2 linked regions of the Caenorhabditis elegans genome follow. The protein of the gene in region 1 purifies or fractionates together with the protein of each later gene. This does not show direct contact. Each region holds a gene or a part of one and is shown on either strand. Other genes may lie near its edges.

Region 1 (4,517 bases):
ACAAAACGTATAAAAGTTAAAGAAGCTTTGTTTCAAAGAAACTTTAGCTGCGGAGCTCAAGTATGAACACTTGAAAACGAAATCTGAAACTATTTTCAGTTTCAGGAGATAACTGATAATTTCTGAGTCTATAAAATATAACTTTTATTATACGACTTTTTAATTCCAAAAACAGGCATGTTCCAATTCATATTTCGGTTAAGATCCACGTGCTATTAATAAACCTACCTGTCACAAGTATCTCGTAATGCCAAGGCTGTTGCCATCATACTGTCATCCAAAGTGTGAGCACGTAGCAGAGCAGGGCTCTTTTCTAGTCGAGAAAGTGTCTCGATAAGTTGCTTCGGAGCGTCATAATTTGAATAAATGTACACGAAATTATCCCAGCGCCACAGATTTATAAGTCTTTCCATTAGTTGAGAATATTCCATCGATGGATACAAATTTAGTGATGTTTGTTGTTTTCTGAAAAAGCAAGTAAACATTGCTAATACTTTTTAAAAGCTTTTATCAAATTTAAATTTTAAAAAATGTTACTTTTGATATCCGGGTGTCCAGTAATAGTGGATAAATAGTATATTCAACTCTGCACATTGCTCTTCAATAATGGATCCACTCTCTCTGTCGACAACACCAATAATAACACTGACTTCTGAGTTTGCGAGATCGCATACTAAAAATCGAGGAGAAAAAATGTGAGAACTTTTTCCATTACCTTACTTTTTGTGTTCAAATCTTCGTGCGAATTTTTCAGTGCAATAAAGGATGTGTGAGTGATAAAGCAAGCTCCTCGCGTTTTCACAATTTGTTCATTGATTCTTGGTACTATAATATTCACGGCGGTTCGTACAGAATGCTCCAAATGGTGACTCGTTATTAATCCTTAAAATTTTTTTTGCTGATGAAACCCAATTTGATTGCCTACCAATCCGTATTGATGATACACCTGTTCCTAGGAAAGATAATAGTAGAAATCTGAAGATGTTGAGCATTTCAAATGCATTTGTTCAGCAAGTTCTTTCATTTTATTCTTAATTGGTTGATGTGTAGACGATAATTGAATTGACTGATTTTCCCATAGTGTTGTCACAAGCACTAAAAGAACTTTGATTAGTGGGCGTTGAAAAAAGCAAAATACAAAGTTCTAGCAGAAATTTGAAAGATAAAAAAAAATGTTAAATTAAACATTTAAGAATATTTTTCAATGTCTTTTTTTAAAACTTTTATTAAAGCTTTTTTTAATAAATTAAAAAATAAATGTCATATTTTTGTTTTAAAACATCGTACTTTTTCCAGAAGAAAACAATCTGTACATTTGCACCTTGTAAAACAATTCCGTCTTCAATAAAATCGATACTCCCGCCTGTGCCGGCCAAAAGATGGGAAGGAAGATGGAGAGGTAACATGTGCAATTGCGCTCCATTGAGAAGGTCTCATAACGAAGAGGCAAGTCTCTGGGAATTCAAGGCGGTACACATCTCATTTACGGGTAAAAATACACTAATTTTTGCTTTTAAATCAACTTATTAATTTGTTTTAAAACTTTAGATATTTTGCCGTGTTTCTCTGAGTGTTTTCCGTCAATTTTTGTTTGTGTCAATGAATTTTCGTTTCAAATAACGTTAATTTTTCAGAATGGCTGCTCCAAAACTTGGATTTTTTGAGAAGATCGCCAACCTCACTGGGGCTTTGTACCGCCACCAACATGCTCAATTTCCACGTCGCTTCGCTATTCTGAAGGTACAGTTTTTTGTCTCTGTGTATTTATGTCTTTGGACACCGTCTAATGTTGGAAATTTAAAAAATCAAACACTACAGGCCGTAGGAAAGCACGAGCTTGCTCCACCACGTCAAGCTGACTGGCCAGCCATCAAGGCCGATTGGGCCAAAGTCCAGAGCTTCATCCAGACCGGAGGATACAAGAATTTGAGCATTAGAGTGAGTTTTTGTTAAATAAAAAAGTTAAAGTTAAAAAATATACTTTATGAATAGTTAGCCAGAACATTTATACTAGACTTTCACATTACCATACTAAACGTTTCAAACATTAAAGTGTTGCTCTATATATAAATAAACACAACGAATTCACTTGATATTACTAATGCAAATTTTTATTCATATTTGGTTATCAAAAACTTCAAAACGATGAAATTTATTAACCGGAACGTTTATTTTTTCAGGAAGGACTTGTCTACACTGCCGTCACTCTTGAGGTTGTCTTCTGGTTCTTCGTTGGAGAAATGATTGGACGTCGCTACATCTTCGGATATCTTGTAAGTTGTCATGCATTATTTTTATTAGTCATTATATCGTATTGTAGGTTCCTGCTGATTACGTTTCCAAGTCCACCAAGAAGACCGTCAAAGAACAAGAGGCTCTTGCTGCTCTCGAGAACTAAATTGTTATCCTTATGTTTAGCGGCTCGTTTTTGATATCGACAAATTTTTGATAGATTTATTTTGGAGTTTGTAAAATGAAGTATTGATGAAAAAAATAAATATAAAAATTTCTAATAATTTTTGATAAAATTTGGCTGTGTTTTGAGAAACATTCAAGGAAGACATTCTGAATGCAATAAAAATTAATTTAAATTAGAAACTTTTAGAGTACGCTCTAATAAGTTGGCATATGTACATAGATGCATGGGGAGTATAAAAATAAGAATAACATCTACACCGTAGTCAATATTTTATAAGTATATTCGTACAGCAAGTGTACTAAAATACAATTTTCACAAAGTAAATTTTTTAAATTTGAAATTGCATTTATACAGGAGGGAATAATCCTAAATCGATTTTTTTTTGAGAATATCACCAAAAGTCTGGTGTTTCTCATAATTTTCCGATTTAAGGGTAAACTTGGTCCCCTGTACCACCCCTTTATAACTTTTCTGCGCGCTTACTCATCTCTCTATTTCATATCAAAATATATGAAATAGAGAGATGAGAAAGCCACAAAGTTATGAAAAAATCAAAAAAAAAATCATGTTCACTAACCAGTGACAAAATGCCTTTCACATTCATAAAATTAATTTCACCGCACATTAGCAATATTTTGGCATATTTACAAATTTATTTCAGTGAATTATGGCCGAAATCAGTTGCAAAATAAATATATACATGTATGCATACAAAAAACTAGTTGAGAAAAGGTTGTCACTATTGATCCTTGCCCCTATGATACACCCCACTATGCCTACTGGATCCTGTGAAATTTTGAATACTTCGTTTCCATAGAACCCTAGTCACCCAAAAGTTTGCCATCTCGGAAGAAAATTCTCAGATTTATATATTATTCAGTATGCAGGTCTCATTAGTTTTGCAAGCTTTTTCTTAAATGAAAATCACACTTTCTCCTTTCTTTCATATAATGATTTTATGTAAATTCACCAACAGTTCATGTTATCAATCCTAGTTCATGAACAGTTGCACGTCAACAAATATTTTCAAAAATTAATTACAGTGCCGGACATAAAGGTATGCAGAAAAGGTTTTTCGTGAATTTTTTGTGAAAGTATTAGGTCTCCAAATAAGTTCCGGGTCAAAAATCATAACTTTTTTTGCCTTTTATAGATTTTTTGAAACTTTGGGAATTCATGTTATCAACTATGACCTTTCATTTTGAAATAGTCACAAAATTTTTTGACCACCCGGAGTGCCCTAACTCGAAGCCATTTTTTTCAGGCATTTTTCTGATCTCGCTTCTTTGCAGCTTTGAACTAAGGTTTGTGTGCGGATTTTACTATGTTTAGAATACATCGTAGGAAATCAACAAAAGTTTGGAAAAAAATCCGTCCAAAAAAATTCTTTTTGGTCGGCCGTCAAAAAAACTTCAAAAAAAATTTCTTTCGAAAGTTTTTGATTTTTAGTATAAAAATGATGTAACCATGTGTAAACTATTTTTAAACATACAAAACATTTGAGTTTGAAAATTGGATCTCGAGAAATACTCAAAAAACTCAAAAATATTCTTCGAAAAAATTATGTTTTCTATTATCATTTGAGTGTGACGAACTTAGTTAAAATGTTTTGTATTTGTAAAAATAGTTCACACATGACTACATCATTTTTGTATGAAAAATCAAGAATTTTCGAAAAAAAATTTTTTGAAAAAAATAAAAAAATTTTTGACCACCGACCAAAAAAAAATTTTTGGACTGATTTTTTTCCAAACTTTTGTTGTTTTCTTACAATGTATTTTAAACAAAGCGAAGTCCGCACATAAACCTCAATTCAAAGCTGCAAAGAAGCGAGATCAGGAAAATGCTTGAAAAAATTCCTAGTGGTCAAAAATTTTTGTGACCATATCAAAATGAAAGATCATAGTTGATAACATAAATTCCCATAGTTCCAAGAAAATCGATAAAAGGCGAAAGAAGTTATGATTTTTGACCCGGAACTTATTTGGAGACCTAATAATTAAAATCGATTCATTTTATTTATCTAAACTCCATTCCATGTAGATTCCACCAAAAAAAAATTCGCGTTTGGTGGCTGTACTTGCATTTTTTTTAATCG
Region 2 (7,773 bases), 8.3 Mb from region 1:
TGAAATTCTGTGTCTACTCGCAGTAGTAATCCGAACATTTAAAGACTGCATTGATGCTCACCGAACAGGTGTTTCTCGCTGGTGGAACTCTATTGTACGTACCTGAACTATCCTCCTCTCCGAATTTCTCGTTAAATTTCAGAAGGCCTTCCCTGAGAAAGTTCTCCATAAGTTCTGCCAAATTCTTGTGTTATGCACAGTTCCACTCCGTGTTGGATGTTATTTGGACGATAGTTTTCTAGTCATTGAGAACTTGCTAGTGGTGTGCATTGTAATCATGAGTACTTTGCATTTTCTTTTTTATTGCAGGTTTGTCTTTTAGAAGTTTGAAGATACAAGTTTGAACTTATGACAAAGTTTTTCAGAAGTCTTAAATTTGTCGGGCCATTTGTGTTGATGGTGTACAAAATTATTGTGAGAGATATGCTGCGATTTTTGCTTATATACTCGTTTTTCTTAATGGGATTTGCACAAGGTGAGTGTTTTCATAATTTCAATTGTCGAAGTATTTTCCAGCATTTTTTGTTATATTCAAATCCTGTGAGAGAGCAGAAATTGCTTATCAGAAAGCTCATAACTATACTGAAGACGATGAATATATTGAGAAGTAAGAAAACATTTCTTATCACGATTTTATACTACCTAATGTTTTTTAGATTTGAAAACATCATGGAAGATGGTTGGGAGGCAGTGATGAGAATGTTTATTATGAGTGTGGGAGAATTTGGTGCACTTTATAAAAACTTGAACGAGTGCAAAAGCAGCATTGCTCCACAGTCCAAGGTTACAAAAAAAGCTCTTTTCAGGCTTACAAGCTCGTTTTAAGGTATTTTTCATCCTCTTCGAGTTAATTGTGACTGTTATGCTTCTGAATCTACTAATTGCTATGATGACTCGTACTTATGAGAAAATTGCCGAAACTGAGAAAGAATGGAAGCGTCAGGTGATTTTTTTATACTTCAACATTTTATTTTCAAGTTTCACCATTTTACTTTCCAGTGGGCGCAAGTAATTTTAATGTTAGAGCAGTCATCTTCAGCCTCGGAACGCCTCCTATCACTTTATCGTTATACTCGGCCAATACGTTCCGATAAACGAAGAAGAGCATTTGTTGTGAAAGTGAAGTCGAATGTAAGTGAATCTATAAATTTTCCCTAATTTATACTAGAATTTGAAAAAAATTAACTTTATTTCTTATTGTACAAATTTGATGGCAAGACTTGGTGATTCCCGAATCCTATTAAAGGTTGTGTAGTCGAATATTTTTAATGCTTTATTAGACTTGAAATTGTCTGAAAACACCGAATTTCATAATGAAACTTCTTGAAAACTTCTCAAAAAAAAGTTATGACGCGTGAAAAAGTGACCTAAAATTAGTTAAATTTTGAAATTTGACCGACTTGCCTATGTCGCAGCGGCTGGAAACAATTTTTTTTTGAAATTACCGTCAAATTTTGAATAAACCGTGTAATTATCTTGTGTTTTCAACTTTATTTAGGTACTTTAAAGTCGATGGAAGGCAAGATTTGGTTTAAAATAATTTAAAAATCTCGCCGTTATTCTAGCGAATTTTGGGCCATTTTGTGAGCCGTCATAACTTTTTTTAAAAAGAAGTTTTCAAGAAGTTTCATTATGAAATTTGGCATTTCCAGACAATTTTGAGTCTAATAAAGCAATAAAAAAATTCGACTACACCACCTTTAATGTCTTCAGAAATATCCTAACTTGGTTTAAGCACATTTTGTTAGTTTTGTAAAAATTATAGGAAAACATAATTTTTGCTGAAACTGAAAAATTTGTAATCAAACTTTTCCTCTCGAAAAAAACCTCACAAAATTTATATCATTTTTTTAGTTTTCAAATATATTTTTTCAGGACCGCCAGCAACCACAACTCAAATTAATTCCACCGCGTGGAAAACCGTCAATCCGCTTGTCAAACAACAGTTCCATTCATGTCTTACATGTTCTATCAAAACATGCTTCGTAAAAACTAAAAAAATTTCAATTATTCGTTTATTAATTTTTGCCGTAATAAAGTGTTCATAGTCCTCGTCGTTTCATGCCATTTGGCCAGTGACGTATGTGCGCACGAAACGCGCAAGCGAGAAGGGATGCGTCAGCAATGAGTCGGGAAAGGCGTCTCTCATTTTTTGGACCTATTTTTGTGAAAAATGAAGTTATTTTTAGTTTTCCATTTAATATTTAAACAAAAAATGAATAAATTTGATAAATTATGCACTTTTTATAACCGTATTGTTCAATTTTACCCAATTTTTGAAAATTATCTAGTTTTTCTTTGAAAATCTAGTTTTTTCAGAATGCTTAGCCGCAACATTGGAGCTGTTCGCGGAGCCCATAAGGCAGCAACGACAAAACCAGTCGAAAAAGTGGCCAAACTTGGAAATGGATTGACCGTTGGAACTATCGACTCTCACAAACCAATTGCACATTTGGTTTTTTTTTAATTTGTTTCTTCTATCCGAAATCATCTTCAAATTTTAGGTTCTTGCCTTCAGAGCTGGAAGTCGCTACGAAAAAGCCAACCAGGCCGGACTCTCTCATACCATCAGAAATTTCGTCGGCAGAGATACCCAGGAATACTTTGGAAACACAGTTGTATGGACGTTGTCACAGACCGGAGGAGTTCTGGTGAGCAAGAAAAAAAAATCGATAAAGTTGAATCTACTGGGCGTTAGAAAAGAACTAAGAATTTTAATGTAAATTTGAAGAAAGATTGCATAATACATTCACAGTTTTTTTTAGAAAAGATTTGTTAGAAAAAAAATTTGGAATTAAGTATTTTGTATCAAAATTTCAGAAAAAATGTGGTCTAATTAACTTGGAGCAAAATTATCAAATTTTCATGAGCATTCCAAAAAGTCTCACAGACATAGCGAGGGTGATGTTTCAGAAATCCTTCACCTCCCGCGATCTTTTCGGAGTCTCCCTCACAATTCCACGCGAAAGCACTTCCGTCGGACTTTCCGTATTGGGACAAGTCGCTGGTAACCCAGGATTCAAGCCATGGGAAGTCGAGGATGTGCTGCCAACTATGCGCGCTGACAACGGATACAGAACCGCTTACGACTTGGTTGTTGACCAGATTCACAAGGCCGCTTACAGGTTTGGCATTGAGAAGCTTTCGAGAATTCATTGAGCAAAACTTTTTTTTTTAGAAATGGAGGACTTGGAAACTCAATCTATGCACCATGCTCTAAAATTGGATCGATCTGCACATCAACTTTGTCCTCATTTGCAGTAAGTTGCTTATTCTTATCTGCAAGTTTTCAATTTTAAAATTTCAGGAGCAGCACTTCGTCACAGGAAACGGAGTATTGTTTGCCACTAATGCTGTTCACGATGACCTTCTTCTCTATGGAGACAATCACGCCCCAATCAGAAGTGGAAACGCTGCGTCCCCATCTTCAAGTGCTTACAAGGTGAGTTCTTGAAAACGAATATTTATTCAGTGGAGTTGGATAACAAAGTCATAAATAATGTCATGAGAAGTGTCACGCATCTACCAACGTCTCTGGTAGCTTCCAGTTTGTGGTGGAGATGGAGCATCGTATCCTCCTGATGGCTGCTCTGGCTTGGCTGGTGGTGGGACGGAATAAGCTGGCTCAGCTGGATAGCTTGGGGATGGGTAGCTCGGAGATGGGTAGCTTGGGGATGGATAGCTTGGAGATGGATAGCTTGGAGACGGGTAGCTTGGTGATGGATGAGCTGGCTCTTGTGGAGCTGGGGATGGGTATCCAGAATCTGGAGTCTCTGGCTCTCTGACTGGTGGCTGTGAAGCTGGTGCTGGACGAGTTGTTGCTGGTGGAGCGCGGGTGGTTGCTGGTGGAGCACGAGTTGCTGGTGGAGCGCGAGTTGCTGGTGGAGCACGAGTTCCTGGAGCAGCAGTGGATCCACGTGGTGGTGGCTGTGGAGCGGATGTTCCAGATGATGGTGGGGTTCTGTCGTCTTGTCTTTGTGGGCATGGGCAGTAGTTGGCATCTTTTCCTGAAACAATTTAAAATGTTTCATCACTGTTTGTTCAAGAAATTCCTAGTAACAACAACAAAAATTTTACCTGGAGCTCCTGGCTTTCCAGCTTGTCCCGGGGTTCCTGGGAAGGCGTCGTGACCAGCGTTTCCTGGAGTTCCTGGTGCTCCTTGTGGTCCCTCCTCTCCGTCCTTTCCTGGCTCTCCATGTTGTCCTGGAAGTCCTGGCTCTCCCAACCATCCTGGCTCTCCTGGCTGTCCAGCTTGTCCTGGGAAGTATGTGGTTCCTGGCTGTCCGTCTGGTCCGTCGGTCCCATCGTATCCCTTTGGTCCTTGTTCTCCTTGATCTCCTGGGGCTCCCTCCTGTCCTGGGGCTCCATCTTCACCGGATGGTCCGGATTGCCCTTGAAGTCCTGGGAATCCTTCTGGTCCAGAGTCTCCATCAGGCCCTGGTGGTCCAGCTGGTCCCTCTGGGCATTTAATGCATCCTCCTGGAATATCGTGAGTGGTTGCAAGAGAGATACCACTGGCTCCACGTCTTCCTTCATCTCCTGGATGTCCTTCGTCTCCACGCTTTCCTGGGTTTCCTGGTGGTCCTGGTGCTCCTGCTGGGCATCCTTGAGAGTTGCTGTCGCAATTGCACATTCCTGGGTACACAAATCTCTTGTTACGGAGGAGGGATGGCACTGGATTGGCAGATTCTCCTGTTGGAGATTGAAGAATCAGGAGACGATCCCAAGTATCATCGGCAAGAACTTTGAACTCATCAACGCGTCCTTCAACTTCGGAACGAAGGTTGTTAATATCTTGAACAATATGTCCAATTGAGCAAAGAGCGGAGAAAACTCCGAGCAAGCAGACGCCTGCCCCAATATAGCCAAGAGTAGACATCGTTGAGAACAATGTTGTGTATTGCTTTGGTGAACACTTTTTTATACATTTTTCTCCGAAAAAACTCGAAAGCCGGCAAGAACTTGCAAGGGCAAGGGGGAGGCTGGGAAAACTTAGAAACTTAGACACGCAACAGATCGGGAAGAACGCGCCGATAAAAAATTACCGGTCCTAGTCGTATGACAGATATCGCAATGCGACGGATATTCAGTATACCTTTGGCATGAAGAGGAAAAAACTTGCTACTATTGTTTCTTTCCCCGAAAAAATGCAATCACTCATTTTGGATTTGGAAATAGAACAGAAAAACTTTGCAAATTTCAATTTCATTATCCACTCCACTGTTTATGTTATCTATACTATCATTTCTCACCTTTTCTGACACCTAGGGAGGAGAAGTGCGCAGAGATGCCGATTCGAAGTACGCGCATGTGATTGTCGCTGGAGAAGGAGCTGCCGGAAACAACACGAAAGCATTGGCCACCCAAGCAGTTCTCCTCACCGCACTTGGAAATTCATCACCAGTCAAGTAATACAAAAAAGGAATTACAATGTTCACACTTGAAATGATTAATTTCAGATTCAACACCGGAACCACTGGAGTCATCGCAAAAGCCGTCGGACAGAATGGATCGGCCAGCGCATTCCAAGCTGTTCATGCGGATAGTGGACTGGCCGGAGTATACCTTGTCGTTGAAGGAAGCCAGGCTAACCAAGCTGTTTCGAATGTAGTTGGAGCATTGAAGTCTTTGAAGGTCGCTGATATTGAAGGTAAGAAATTTTGTTTTTTAGAGTATAAATTTGATAAAATGGGATCACACTATTTTTGTACATCGATATTTCTGAAATTATAAAAAAAAATAAAAATTAAATAAAGATATGCTTCTAGGATGTTCTACAACATTCTATAATAAAATAGTCCAGAAAGCTGCAGAACTTTCCGGGGCAAAACTTTCAAAATTTTCGGAGAAAACTTTTTTCACGACCTAATACTTGACATTTTTGTATGTAGATTTACAATTTGAGCCGCCTTAGAGAAGGGCTTTTGTATAAATATGATTTTTAGAGGCCTATACTGAAAACCCAAAATATAAATTGTGTTCTTGTGGTAGAGTTGAACTTAACTAAACTAGACTAAAGCTAAACTATGCTAACCTTGTCGTAAAATTTAAGCGAAATGGAATATTTCTAGCACAAAACTAATTGCAGATTTTTAGGTTGATGGTAATTTCAAACTACTGTGACGTTACCGACTTAATCGGTTTTTGTATTAATTTCAACTTTCAGCCGTCAAGAAGCAGGCCTTCAACAACGCCTTGAGAGCCTCTGCTCATTCCGACAACTTTGCCATCGAGAGAGCCTCCCAACTCTTCCAGTCCCAAGACAATTACATTCAACAGATTCCAAATGTGTCGGCTAGTGATGTTGAAGTTGCCGCCAAGAAATTGACTACCAAGTTGTCGTTGGCCAGTTATGGAAATGTCTCAGAAGTCCCATATGTTGATACTCTGTGAGCATCTAGTTAAATTAAATGATTTTACTCCAGTAGACGAACGCATTTTGTTATTTTTTGGTCAATTTGTTTTCCGTCTCATATGACTATTTTTTTGCTGTCAATAAAAGGTACTAGACTTTGAAATTTGTTTGTTCAATGAACAAAAAAATAAAGAAATTATTCACGTAATCAAAAACAGACAGAAAAAAAAAGTAAGCTCGAATAAGCTTATACATATACCGAGGGTGAATAAGTGAATTGTAAATGTGAGAGTTAGGCTTTGAAACGTTCGGGAGAAGCGGGAAAGAATGACAACTTAAACGTGTAAAAACATGAAATTCCGTATAATCTAGTTTGGGGTGTGAGCATTGAAATGTGCAGGATAACAACAACAAAAAGGTGGGTTGAAAGAAATCTGGGAAATTAACAGTTATTAGCCGTGACGAACAGAAGCACCGGGGGCTCTGCACAAATGGGCCCGCGATAGACTACAATTAAATGAGACAAGTTCGAAGGAACAGAGTTGAAGGTGGGAAGAGGAGATGACATGAGCTACTGAGCTACTTTATAAGTGTTAAGGCTGAAATGGAAATGAATGTGTATGGGGAAAATTGGGACAAAAAAAGTACAAAAGTACAATGGGTACCCGGACCAGGTAGCGATTATCATGGAGTTAACTCTTGATGAGTAAAGAAATGGAGATGCGAATTAGACTGGCCACAGCGTGTTGGCGGAGCAGCAAGTGTTATGGATGATTTTTCCAATCGGTGTCTAGAAATTATATTTAATTAGTTACTAAGTTTCTCTATTAACATACCTTAATCAAATCATCATCAAGCTTTGCCCAACGGACACCGTAACTGCTTTGAACAGCAGACGCAAGCCGTTCCAGCTCCTTATCGAATCGGACGAAGAAGTAATGAATGGTATCGTCTTTGGTGACCAAGCAAAGCGCAGGCGAGCGATTCCCAAAGAAGCTCTCCTTATCCTCCGGCTGACGAACAACTACCGATTGCTTGACGTTAATACCTCCAACTTCGTTGAGAAGGCGCAAGAATCCATCGGACCAGAACTTTTCGCCCTCTTGAACCAGTGCGATGCAGGTCTCCGTGACTACTGCAAGGCAAGATGCCATGTATGGCTGCGTCGTCTTATTCTCCGCAATCATTGTCAGGATTCTGGTCCATTCGATTTGATCCTCCTGGGTTGGGCACTCAAACTCAAATGTACCTTCTGCAGCTTTCATTTGGAAAGCAACTCTTCCTGTGCTATTGATACTGGAGCCACTGAAAATTATCAAATTATATATATTTTATTGAGTTGTCTAATGCACAAAAGCTGATTTTACTAACCTTAAGCTAATCACCAATTCTTCGGTCTTGCAGGTCGAGTCGGCAAA

Evidence for each region. The genes of interacting proteins can lie anywhere in the genome.
Region 2: the proteins of asg-2 (region 1) and ucr-2.2 fractionate together in Caenorhabditis elegans (co-fractionation; one large-scale study listed by BioGRID). This does not show direct contact.

The regions. Positions count from the first base shown.
Region 1 is NC_003284.9:6,839,624-6,844,140, forward strand, and holds asg-2 (putative ATP synthase subunit g 2, mitochondrial), read left to right. Parts: upstream 1-1,634; 5' UTR 1,635-1,635; coding exon 1,636-1,740; intron 1,741-1,818; coding exon 1,819-1,938; intron 1,939-2,180; coding exon 2,181-2,273; intron 2,274-2,320; coding exon 2,321-2,398; 3' UTR 2,399-2,498; downstream 2,499-4,517. Other genes in the region: glr-6 (Glutamate receptor ionotropic, kainate 2), read right to left, coding at 229-465, 538-673, 721-882, 926-992. UniProt on the Caenorhabditis elegans protein: Mitochondrial membrane ATP synthase (F(1)F(0) ATP synthase or Complex V) produces ATP from ADP in the presence of a proton gradient across the membrane which is generated by electron transport complexes of the respiratory chain.
Region 2 is NC_003284.9:15,171,585-15,179,357, forward strand, and holds ucr-2.2 (Peptidase M16 N-terminal domain-containing protein), read left to right. Parts: upstream 1-2,319; 5' UTR 2,320-2,320; coding exon 2,321-2,455; intron 2,456-2,504; coding exon 2,505-2,651; intron 2,652-2,913; coding exon 2,914-3,125; intron 3,126-3,178; coding exon 3,179-3,260; intron 3,261-3,307; coding exon 3,308-3,442; intron 3,443-3,447; exon of another isoform or gene 3,448-3,522; coding exon of another isoform or gene 3,523-4,007; intron 4,008-4,077; coding exon of another isoform or gene 4,078-4,879; exon of another isoform or gene 4,880-4,897; intron 4,898-5,268; coding exon 5,269-5,408; intron 5,409-5,459; coding exon 5,460-5,650; intron 5,651-6,166; coding exon 6,167-6,393; 3' UTR 6,394-6,561; downstream 6,562-7,773. Other genes in the region: ocr-3 (Ion transport domain-containing protein), read left to right, coding at 1-94, 143-309, 366-475, 517-607, 657-783, 827-943, 1,000-1,131, 1,876-1,989; col-41 (Nematode cuticle collagen N-terminal domain-containing protein), read right to left, coding at 3,523-4,007, 4,078-4,879; pkhm-2 (PH domain-containing protein), read right to left, coding at 7,083-7,145, 7,192-7,660, 7,727-7,773.